Macaca fascicularis: one gene and its partners. The protein of the gene in region 1 interacts with the protein of each later gene in a biochemical or structural test. Links are inferred from orthologs where the notes say so. Each region holds a gene or a part of one and is shown on either strand. Other genes may lie near its edges. The genes, in order: NFKB2, BTRC and BCL3.

The links.
Region 2: of the proteins of NFKB2 (region 1) and BTRC, one has a biochemical effect on the other in vitro, tested with the Homo sapiens proteins (2 studies listed by BioGRID, with this or other methods). The link is inferred for Macaca fascicularis from reciprocal best matches to the Homo sapiens genes NFKB2 and BTRC.
Region 3: the proteins of NFKB2 (region 1) and BCL3 form a complex in vitro, tested with the Homo sapiens proteins (2 studies listed by BioGRID). The link is inferred for Macaca fascicularis from reciprocal best matches to the Homo sapiens genes NFKB2 and BCL3.

What each region holds. Positions count from the first base shown.
Region 1 is NC_088383.1:111,409,745-111,412,629, forward strand, and holds the end of NFKB2 (nuclear factor NF-kappa-B p100 subunit), read left to right. Parts: intron 1-57; coding exon 58-271; intron 272-433; coding exon 434-603; intron 604-724; coding exon 725-827; intron 828-957; coding exon 958-1,109; intron 1,110-1,226; coding exon 1,227-1,296; intron 1,297-1,511; coding exon 1,512-1,684; intron 1,685-1,816; coding exon 1,817-1,928; intron 1,929-2,020; coding exon 2,021-2,145; 3' UTR 2,146-2,293; downstream 2,294-2,885. UniProt on the Homo sapiens protein: NF-kappa-B is a pleiotropic transcription factor present in almost all cell types and is the endpoint of a series of signal transduction events that are initiated by a vast array of stimuli related to many biological processes such as inflammation, immunity, differentiation, cell growth, tumorigenesis and apoptosis.
Region 2 is NC_088383.1:110,523,416-110,527,062, forward strand, and holds part of BTRC (F-box/WD repeat-containing protein 1A), read left to right. Parts: intron 1-1,144; coding exon 1,145-1,306; 3' UTR 1,307-1,337; intron 1,338-3,647. UniProt on the Homo sapiens protein: Substrate recognition component of a SCF (SKP1-CUL1-F-box protein) E3 ubiquitin-protein ligase complex which mediates the ubiquitination and subsequent proteasomal degradation of target proteins. Recognizes and binds to phosphorylated target proteins.
Region 3 is NC_088393.1:52,781,926-52,786,092, reverse strand, and holds the start of BCL3 (B-cell lymphoma 3 protein), read right to left. Parts: upstream 2,941-4,167; 5' UTR 2,858-2,940; coding exon 2,602-2,857; intron 401-2,601; coding exon 247-400; intron 1-246. UniProt on the Homo sapiens protein: Contributes to the regulation of transcriptional activation of NF-kappa-B target genes. In the cytoplasm, inhibits the nuclear translocation of the NF-kappa-B p50 subunit.

The DNA of each region.
Region 1 (2,885 bases):
GGAGGGGTTGGAAGGCAGGTGGGTCTCGGGCCTGGCTCACCCTGCTTTCATCCCCAGACGCCCCTGCACCTGGCGGTGATCACCAGGCAGACGAGTGTGGTGAGCTTTCTGCTGCGGGTGGGTGCAGACCCAGCTCTGCTGGATCGGCATGGAGACTCAGCCATGCATCTGGCGCTGCGGGCAGGCGCTGGTGCCCCTGAGCTGCTGCGTGCACTGCTTCAGAGTGGAGCTCCTGCTGTGCCCCAGCTGTTGCATATGCCTGACTTTGAGGGTGAGCTCCCCATCTCACCTGACTAGGGGGCAGGTGGGGACCAGGGAGGGTGTCTGACCAGTGTGCAGATTGGACTATGAGGTGTCAAGGTTGAATGGTCAGGGCTGGCCCAAGGACCGCCTTAAGGGTCATAGCTGCAGGTTGAGTATCCTGTATCCTTAGGATTGTATCCAGTACACCTGGCGGTCCGAGCCCGAAGCCCTGAGTGCCTGGATCTGCTGGTGGACAGTGGGGCTGAAGTGGAGGCCACAGAACGGCAAGGGGGGCGAACAGCCTTGCATCTAGCCACCGAGATGGAGGAACTGGGGTTGGTCACCCATCTGGTCACCAAGGTGGGACTGAGGATTGTGGAAGGAGTGGGACCACGGGTGGTGGAGGGGCCAAAGACGGTGAAGCGGGGGCTGGCTAGGGGGACCATGCTGTGGTGTCAACCCTTGCCGCTCGCACCCCCAGCTCCGGGCCAACGTGAATGCTCGCACCTTTGCGGGAAACACACCCCTGCACCTGGCAGCTGGACTGGGGTACCCGACCCTCACCCGCCTCCTTCTGAAGGCTGGTCAGTCTCACCCTCAGGGGCACTTGAACAGGGTGAGGGGAAGGGAAAGAGGTGCCTCCCAGTCCTCCCACTTTGCAGTCCTTAATGTGGGCCCCCACCAAACCTCCCCATGACGGCCTCCCTCTCCCAGGTGCTGACATCCATGCTGAAAACGAGGAGCCCCTGTGCCCGCTGCCTTCACCCCCTACCTCTGATAGCGACTCGGACACTGAAGGGCCTGAGAAGGACACCCGAAGCAGCTTCCGGGGCCACACGCCTCTTGACCTCACTTGCAGCACCAAGGTGAGGCCAGCCTGGAACTAGAAGCGCTCTGAGTGACGGGGTCCAGAGTATCTGGACTTAAAGACACGGGCTTAAGGACGAGGTGGGAGGTAGTCAGAGCGGCGGCTGTCTCCCCAGGTGAAGACCTTGCTGATAAATGCCGCTCAGAGTACCATGGAGCCACCCCTGACCCCGCCCAGCCCTGCAGGTGAGGAGCATCAAGCATCCCCAGCCCAATTCCTCAAACAGAAATTCTTCTCCTTCAGGACCCTCTGAAAGAGGCCTCCCTTTCTCTACCTTCAGCCCCATCCATCACCCCTCGTGGTCCTGTCTGTCGCTTACCTTGGGAGAAAGGCAGTGTTCAGGTGTCCATGTCCCCACCCAACTCTGGAGGTAAATGACATGTCTGTGTGTCCCCCTCAGGGCCGGGACTGTCACTTGGTGATACAGCTCTGCAGAACCTGGAGCAGCTGCTAGACGGGCCAGAAGCCCAGGGCAGCTGGGCAGAGCTGGCAGAGCGTCTGGGGCTGCGCAGCCTGGTGGACACGTACCGACAGACGGCCTCGCCCAGCGGCAGCCTCCTGCGCAGCTATGAGGTGGGTTGGCCTTCGCCCTGCCCCCTCCCCATCCTCCTTTCCCGATCTGAGTCCAGGTGCCTCCTTGGCCCCAGGGCTTCCAAGCATACACCCTAACCATGACTCAGACCTCATCCCGCTGTTTTTTTTTAGCTGGCTGGCGGAGACATGGCAGGTCTGCTGGAGGCCCTGTCTGATATGGGCCTAGAGGAGGGAGTGAGGCTGCTGAGGGGTCCAGAGACCCGAGACAAGCTGCCCAGCACAGGTAAAGGGGCATCCCTGGAAGGGGGATCTGGGCTTGGAGGGTGGGAGGCCTGAGTCCTTGACTATCCCATTCCTGTCCCCATTTACCCCCAGCAGAGGTGAAGGAAGACAGTGCATACGGGAGCCAGTCAGTGGAGCAGGAGGCAGAGAAGCTGGGCCCACCCCCTGAGCCGCCAGGAGGGCTCTGCCACGGGCACCCCCAGCCTCAGGTGCACTGACTTGCTGCCCGCCACCACCCCCCTTCCTGCACCCCCTGTACAGTGTCCCCACCTATTTCAAATCTTATTTAACACCCCACACCCACCCCTCAGTTGGGACAAATAAAGGATTCTCATGGGAAGGGGAGGACCCCTCCTTCCCAACTTATGGCAGCCCCTGATGTGACTCTTGTCCCTGGAACCAGCTACCCATCCTGCCCACACGCCAGGCATGGTGAGAAGAGAAGGATGAGGCCCAGCCAGCAAGTCCAGAGCAATTTTAATGGGGGTGGAGGCTGTACAAAGGGCAAGGCCCACTGAAGCGGGGAAAGCCAGGTCGTGCTGCCCCCGGCCCAGGTATGGGGCCTTGGCATGGACGCCCTTCCTCCACCTCCAGCAAGAGAGAGGGTGAGCCCTTGGGGAGGAAGGAGGGGAAACCAGCTCAGCCCCAAATCCTGGTCTCTGTCCAAGCCAGGCCCCAGGACAGAGGGGGGACTGCTGGTGTCAGGGTGGGGTGGTCTCAGCAGAAAGCAGAAATGGCATCAGGCCTCTCCCACACAAAAAAAAAGCATCAAAAGTTCAGGGGCGCTAGCCCCTCCCACCCCCGCCCACCCTGTACGAAAAAGTGCAAAACATTATCACAAAAAGGGGCTCTCGGACGTGCCCCTAGCCTAGGCTCCTGAGGCCCAGGCCCCAGCCCTGCCCTGCCCCGGACACCGCGTCCGGCGCGGTCGGGCCCTAGACCGGGAGGCCCTCGTGGG
Region 2 (3,647 bases), about 890 kb from region 1:
AAAAATTAGCCAGGCGTTGTGGCGGGCGCCTGTAGTCCCAGCTACGTCTGAGGCAGGAGAATGGCATGAACCCAGGAGGCAGAGCTTGCGGTGAGTGGAGATCACGCCACTGCACTCTAGCCTGGGCAACAGAGCAAGACTCCGTCTCAAAAAAAATAAAAAGATGATGATGATGATAAAATTGGAGTGGAGATAACATTGTTTAGTAAGGGGTGTGAGATTGTTTTCCAGTATGCTGGGAACATTCTACATCTTCATCAGGGTAGTGGTAACTGCCAGTGGTATGCTAGAACAGGCTCATACTCACTTATGAGAGCCAACTATTCATGAATTTTGCAAGCTGGTTGACTATTACTAGCTTATAATTGGCCATGGTAGGAGTTTTTAATGCCGTGGAAATCTACCAGTGGTTTTACAAAGTAGCAAAGTTGGTTGATAAACATTTATCAGCATACTGCTTATTGCTCACCAATCCTTGACCTCTGATTATAGAAGGAACTTAGAAGATAAAACCAGGGAGGTAGTAAGGAATGCTGTCATCCACCCTAAGCCAAAAAGGGTTGGCATGAGAAACTATTAATAGCATGCTATTTAGCATGTCTTGGCCAAAGAATATTACTTTGTTTACAGCTGCCTAGTATTTGACTTTTCCATGCTGCCTTTAGCCAAAGTAAATTTTCTTTTTTTTTAATTTATTTATTTATGTATTTATTTAGACAGAGCCTCACTCTGTTACCTAGGCTGGAGTGCAGTGGCATGATCTCAGCTCACTGCAACCTCTGCCTCCCAGGTTCAAGCAATTTTTCTGCCTCAGCTTCCCAAGTAACTGGGACTACAGGCACGTGCCACCATGCCCAGCTAATTTTTTGTATTTTTAGTAGAGATGGGGTTTCACCGTGTTAGCCAGGATGGTCTAGATCTCCTGACCTCGTGATCCGCCCGCCTCGGGCTCCCAAAGTGCTGGGATTACAGCCGTGAGCCACTGCACCCGGCCTCTCTCTTTTTTTAAAAAAACAACTTCATGGTAGAAAATTAACAGCAAACCATAGCCTTTCTGTAGACTCCTTTTGACATCTTGCTAAATTTGTGTCCTATTGATTTTGAGTAGTTCAAGTTCCTACCCTTTTTGTTTCTACTTCTTTAGGAGCATTCCGGAAGAGTTTTTCGACTCCAGTTTGATGAATTCCAGATTGTCAGTAGTTCACATGATGACACAATCCTCATCTGGGACTTCCTAAATGATCCGGCTGCCCAAGCTGAACCCCCCCGTTCCCCTTCTCGAACATACACCTACATCTCCAGATAAATAACCATATACTGACCTCAAACTTGCCCAGGTATCAAAATCTATTATGTACATAACACTGTGGGTAGGAGACAGGATATTAGCTGTAAGGTATTGCTAGTTCATGGAGCTTTCTCCTGCCATTTGTGTCACCAAGTCCTGTAAAGCCGAGGAAGCAGACAATGTGAGACAGGGCTGAAGCTGCCACAGTATGGACAGTGCCTTTCACCAAGGTAGCCAGCCTCAGTTCTAGGTGATTGTAGGGTCCTATGTGTGTGGTAAGCCTAGTCATTCCTGCCCTAGTTATCTAGTAGTACTGTTATGAAAATAAAATGAGATTTGAATCAGTTTGAAAACTAAGTAATGACCCAAAGGCCTGTGATGTTTAAGTTCCCAGATCACACAATACCTACAATAGAGACGTTTCAAGCCAAGTAGACACTCTGATGTCTAATGTGTGAATGGAAACATCTCTTGGTGAAAGTTCACACTGACATAGAAATAAAAGGGCAGATTTTAAAAGGAATATAAAAAGTAGCTTTTATATCCCTATCCCCATTCCTCAACCCTCCAAAAAGAGGACCTGTCTTTTGACCTCTGACGTTGGTGAGAACTCCATGTGTCCTCCCACTCAAGTCTCCAAACTCTCTCTCAGGCAGGGGAAGATCCTAAAATACCCAGGTGGTCCATACATATTATGGTATATTCAGATCATACGTGGTGTTCTGACCAGTTTGAATACACTAGGTTGTTGCCAGTTTGAGAAGGCTGCCCTAGCTGCTGAGGAGCGTTGCCTCAGTTCTCCTGGCAGAAGTACATGTTCGCTACACGTTTCTGCATCTCTCTTTGCAGTGTTCCACTGAGGGCAGTGATTCACGCCCAACTGGGCTTGCCTCAGCACCTCTTTCTCCCACAGAGGACACGGTTCATCGTTCCTCAGCCAAGTCGCACAGGCTATGTGCCCTTGGACAAGTAACTTCCCAGAGCCTGAATCTCCTGATGAGTAACACGAGGGGCACTGCTCACCTCATGGAGCCCTGTGAAGGCTGCATGGAGATACTGTATGGAAAATTCCTAGTGCTTAGCACAGTGCCGAATACATAGCATGCCCTCAGGAAAAACTGGTCATTAGTATTAATACTGCAATCTCCCTATACCTACCCCCTCCTTTTGCCCAAAATTTTCTCTTCCTTAGACTTCTGTGACACTTTGCTATTTTTAATATTCTTCCTGGCTCTCTGATTATTTGTGCCTCTTTCCCCCTCACTCCTAAGAGTCTGTTTCTGGCTTTTCTTATTATTTTTATTTTATCTTATTTCTTTTTTTTGAGACGTAGTCTCGCTCTTTCGCCCAGGCTGCAGTGCAGTGGCGCGATCTCGGCTCACTGCAAGCTCTGCCACCTGAGTTCACACCATTCTCCTGCCTCAGCCTCCTGAATAGCTGGGACTACAGGTGCCCGCCACCGTGCCAGGCTAATTTTTTGTATTTTTAGTAGAGACGGGGTTCCACCATATTAGCCAGGATGGTCTCGATCTCCTGACCTCATGATTCACCTGCCTCGGCCTCTCAAGGCCAAGCCACCGCGCCTGGCCTATTTTATTTCTTGAGACAGGGCTTCGCTCCTGTCGCCCAAGCTGGAGTGCAGTGGCACAATGTCAGCTCACTGCAACCTCCACCTCCCAGGCTCAAGTGATTCTCCTGCCTCAGCCTCCTGAGTACAACAGGCACACAACACCATACCCAGCTAATTGTTTGTATTTTTTTTGTAGAGATGGGGTTTCACCATGTTGCCCAGGCTGGTCTCAAACACCTGAGCTCAAGTGATCCACCTCCCTTGGCCTCCCAAAGTATTGGGATTACAGGTGTGAGCCACCATGCCCGGCCTCTCTTTCTTCCTTATCTAAGTTCCTTCTTAGGCTGCCTTCTCTCTTCCCAAAGCTTCAGATCTCATCTCAATGTAGAAGACTCAAATTTCTGTCTCCAGTCCAAGCCTCTGCTTTAATCTCCAGGCCACATTTCCAGCTGCCATCCACACAGCTGTCCTTGAAGATAGCAAGAGCACTTCTAGTGCTCACATCCTCAACTACACTGTCCCCTCCTTTACACTGCTGGTACCCTCCAGCCACACAGCCGGGCCAGCTTTCCTTGATTCCCCCACTTCTGTTAGTGGCACCACCATGCTCATGGCCACTCAAAGGCAGGGCCCACAGACCATCCCCGACCCCTGCCCTGCCATTCTACAGGGCAGGTGAAAGCTATGCCAACCGTGGTCACTCTCAGCCTAAAGACATCAGAGTCACTCTGCTTGAACACCACAGCCCTGAGCATGTCAGCAAGCCCTGCCTTTAGTGTAACTTCCCCA
Region 3 (4,167 bases), on another chromosome or scaffold:
CCCTGTCTCAAAAATCAAAAACAAAAACCAAACAAAAATAGTGCCCTAGGAAGTAAATGCTTTCCGGGTGCCCATTATTCAGAGGAGGAAACTGAGGCTCAGAGAGGGGAAGGGCCTTATTCAAGGTCACACAGCCTGTGGTAGAGACCGAGTTCTGACTCAGGTCCACGGGAGCTGAGTGGCCCTGTGTTATGGACAGCTGGTCTTCCCAACCACCCCTCCCCTTAATAGGGGACTATCACTCACGTGTCTCCGTCCTCATCTGCTCGGGTGGCCATGGCGATGTCAGCAGAAAGGGGGTGTTCCATGGGGCACATCATGGGGTACAGGGGTGTAGGCAGGTTCACCAGAGGAAACGGGGAGCCCATGGTCCGAGTGGGGTACAAAGGCAGTAAGGCTCCTAGGCAATGGAGGACAGAGGAGGGACATGGGTGAGGCCACACTCACAGACCCTCAACCTGCTCCCCACTTCTAGATCGCTCCCTACTTCTAGATCTTTGCTCCTGCAGTGTCACCTACCTTTTCTCCCAGGTCCCTTTTGCATCCTATACTGGGTCCTCAGGGCCTAAAACAAACCCCCTTCCACATCCCTCCTCTGGGCTCCGGCAGCTTCCTCTCCCTCCAGGGCTGGTCACCCTTATTGTCACTTATCTTCTGACCCCAATCTCCAATCAGACAAAGGGTCCCTTAAGAACAGAGGGCGCACCCATCATCACCTAGCAGGGAACCTGAGGGACTGTCTGCGGAGTGATTGTGTGGCTGATGAAGAGCTGGGTGCAGGGTGTGGGATAAATGTAGAGTGGGTTTGGAGAGAATGGAGGGAGAGAGGAGGTGTCACCAGAAGCCTGTTCAAACTGTTTTTGAGATGGAGTCTTGCTCTGTTGCCCAGACTGGAGTGCAGTGGCACGATCTTGCCTCACTGCAACCTCCGCCTCCCAGGTTCAAGCGATTCTCCTGCCTCAGCCTCCCAGGTAGCTGGAATTACAGATGCTCACCACCACATGTGGGTAATTTTAGATCAAACTGTTAAAAAAGGGGCCATGGCAGGCCGGGGGCAGTGGCTTGTGCCTCTAACACCAATACTTTGGGAGGCCGAGGCGGGTGGATCACCTGAGCTCAGGAGTTCAATACTAGTCTGTGCAACATGGTGAAACCCTGTCTCCACTAAAAATACAAAAATTAGCCAAGTGTGGTGGTGCATGCCTGTAATCCCAGCTACTCGGGAGGCCGAGGCACAAGAATTGCTTGAACTTGGGAGTCGGAGGTTGCAATGAGCTGAGATCACGCCAATGCACTTCAGTCTGGGTGACAGAGCAAAACTCTGTCTCAAAAAAACAAAACAAAGCAAAACAAAAACAAAAGGCGGGGGACCACAGCAGCAGGCAAATCTATACCAACCCATCACACAGACGGGGAAAACTGAGGCCTGCGTTCTTACTCTTGGAATGGGAAAGCTGGGAGGCCGTGGCAGAACTCCTGACGCATATAGCTTGAGGCTCTCCAGCTGTCACACTGATGGGGTGGGAGGTGCAGAAACTACCTAAAGTCTTGGGGCTCTGGAGAAGGGCTCTCTGCAGCTTTGGGGGTCAATTGGGGATGGTGACACGGCTACAGCTGTGCTAGGGGACACCCCTTCTTGAGATCAGGGATGGAGATGGGTTGGAGGGAAAAGTGTGCTGTCTTTGTCCTCTGCTGATCCTTGTGGGTCCTCTGTTCTTGAACTCTCAAGTTTCCAGGTCCCCGTATCTCCAATACCAGGCCTTGGGGCCCTGAGGCTTTCTGTCTGGAGACCCCTGAATCTTTCATCCTGCCTCTAAATTACCCAGAGTCTCAGAATTACCCAATCTTAGGATCCTCAGTCCCCCGATCCCCTCCGGCCCACCTGATCTTGACCTCAAATAGGACCCTGATCGCTCGTGGTCCCACATAACTGAGTACCCAGAACCCCGGGTCTCTGTTCCCCTGGGTCCTCAAGACCCCCTGGTATCTGGGTCCCTGGAGCTCTGGTTCATTCCCTTGGATCCTTGTGATCCCAGGTATTGGGGTGCTCAGAACCCCATCTCTGTTTTCATAATGCCCATGTCTCCAGATATCTTGGGTTCCTGAGATTGTGACATCCTGAGATCCTCAGTATCTGTCTCCTTAGAACCCCAGTCTCTGTTACCCTGACTTCCTTTGATTCTAATAGCAGGATACAAGGAACCCCAGTTTCTCCAGCCCAGCTCAGCTTCCTCATAACCCTACACATCTGGTTTAAAAGCTTGTACTTTTTTGTCCCCAGGACACCAGGCTCTGTGTCCTGATTCCTTGACACCCCCATATTTGTACCAGTGGGCATTGTCCCTGGCCCCCCCATGTCACTCAGCCCTTGGGCTCTGCCCCCCAGGGTCCCCAAACCCCCAGATGCCTGTGTCCCAAGGCACAGCTTACTGGCTCCCTGATGATCTCCTATCTGTATCCCTGGAACCTGGGGTTACATCCTCTTGTCCCCCAGGTTCCTGGAGATAGACGGGTTTGTGCCTCCAGCTGTGTCTCCTGGCTCTGGTGACCCTATGCTCTGTGTGGCTCCTACCAGGCCCAGACCCTCGGGGGGCCACTCACCCGGGTAGTACAGCGCCTCCGGCCTGGCCAGGCCGTGGGGGGGCCCGGGGACCGCCGGCAGGTCGCAGCCGCCGCGCAGGGGGTCCAGGGGGACAACAAGGCCCGCAGCGCCGCGGGGAGCGGCGGGCTCCGGGGAGGGCGCGCGCAGCGGGCGCTTGCGGAGCGGCAGTGCGGCGCCCGGGAGTCCGGCGGCCTTGGGTCGGGTGCGCAGGTCCACGGGCCCCTCGTCCATGGCCCCCGCGGGGCATCGGGGCATGGGGCCGCCGGGGACGGCGGCCGGAGAGCTGCTGGGCTCGGCTGCACGGGAGGGTGGTTTCGCCGGGCGCCGGGACTTCCCCTGCAGCCGGCTGAACTGAAGGGACTTTTGTCGGCCGGGGCGGTGCCGGCCGCCCGCCTCCCCGCCCCCGGCCCCCCCCGGGGCCACCCGTACGCCCCAGGGGTTTCCTGGACCCGCCGCTGCTCCCGCCGCTCTGCGGTGCAGCCTGCTGTGCGCCCCGCCCGCGCCGCGCCCCGCTTGCCCCCTCCCGGCCCGCGGCGCCCCGGGCAGCCAGGCCTTGGCGGGGGAGTGGGAGGAAAGGAGGGGTGGGGAGAGAGGAGGCGGGGTCGGAGGGTGGGGGGGTGTCCCTACCCCTGCTGCCAAGGGCCGCTCTCAGTCTCTCTGCCTCTGTTTTTATCTTTCTGGCTCTATCTCTCAGCCTCTCTATCGCTGAGTCTGTAACTGTCTCTCTGGTTCTCCTGTCTGAGTAGGTGTTTCTCTTCGCACCCCCGCGTTTGTCTCTGTATGCTCTGTTCGGTCTCTGTCTCTCTCTTTTGTCTCTTTGTGTCTGTCACCATCTCTCTGTCAGTTGCTGTCTGCTTCTCTGCCTCTCAGGAGGCCTTGGCATCTCTGGGACGCAGGTTCGAATCTCGGTTCCCACTTCCTCGCTGGGTGACCTTGGTCAAACACTTCCCCTCTCTGAGCCGTTTCCTCCTTAGTGGGAGTGAAGAGACGCACCCGGGGCAAGGACTGGCACTCGGCAGGCGGCCAGGAACGATTCCTCTCCCTCCTCTCTTCCATTTCTGCCACTCCACGTGCCTCTTCGGCTGTGGGTCTAAAGGGGCTGGGGGTGGGGTGAGGGTGGGGAGCGCTCTACTGATTGTGTCTCTGTCCGCGTTGGGGGCCCTGCACCCAGCCAGGGCCCCCAGGGCACCGGGGTGGGTGCTCGGAAAATCCTAGGTGCACAGAGAGAAAGAGACATGGAGACAGGCGCAGAGATCTTGAGAGAAAGAGAGATAGCAAGAGACACAGACGCCAGGCCAGAGTCAGCGCGACCGAGGCCGGTGCTGCAGGAGAGGGGAGCAGTTTGGCTTCCCCCTTACTTCCCCTCCCACCGCGAAGAGGGGTTGATGGGTGGGGAACAAGCCAGGCGGGTTGGGGGCATGACTCAGGCAGGAGATGGGAGGGAAGGAGGGGGGAGGCGGGACTCTTCCCGGTCTCCTCCCCTTCTCTGCCTCTCCCCGCCCCGGGGTGGGGCCCCGAAGGTCCGGGGCTTTCCCGGATTTCCCTGGGGGCGGGGCAGCCGCTGG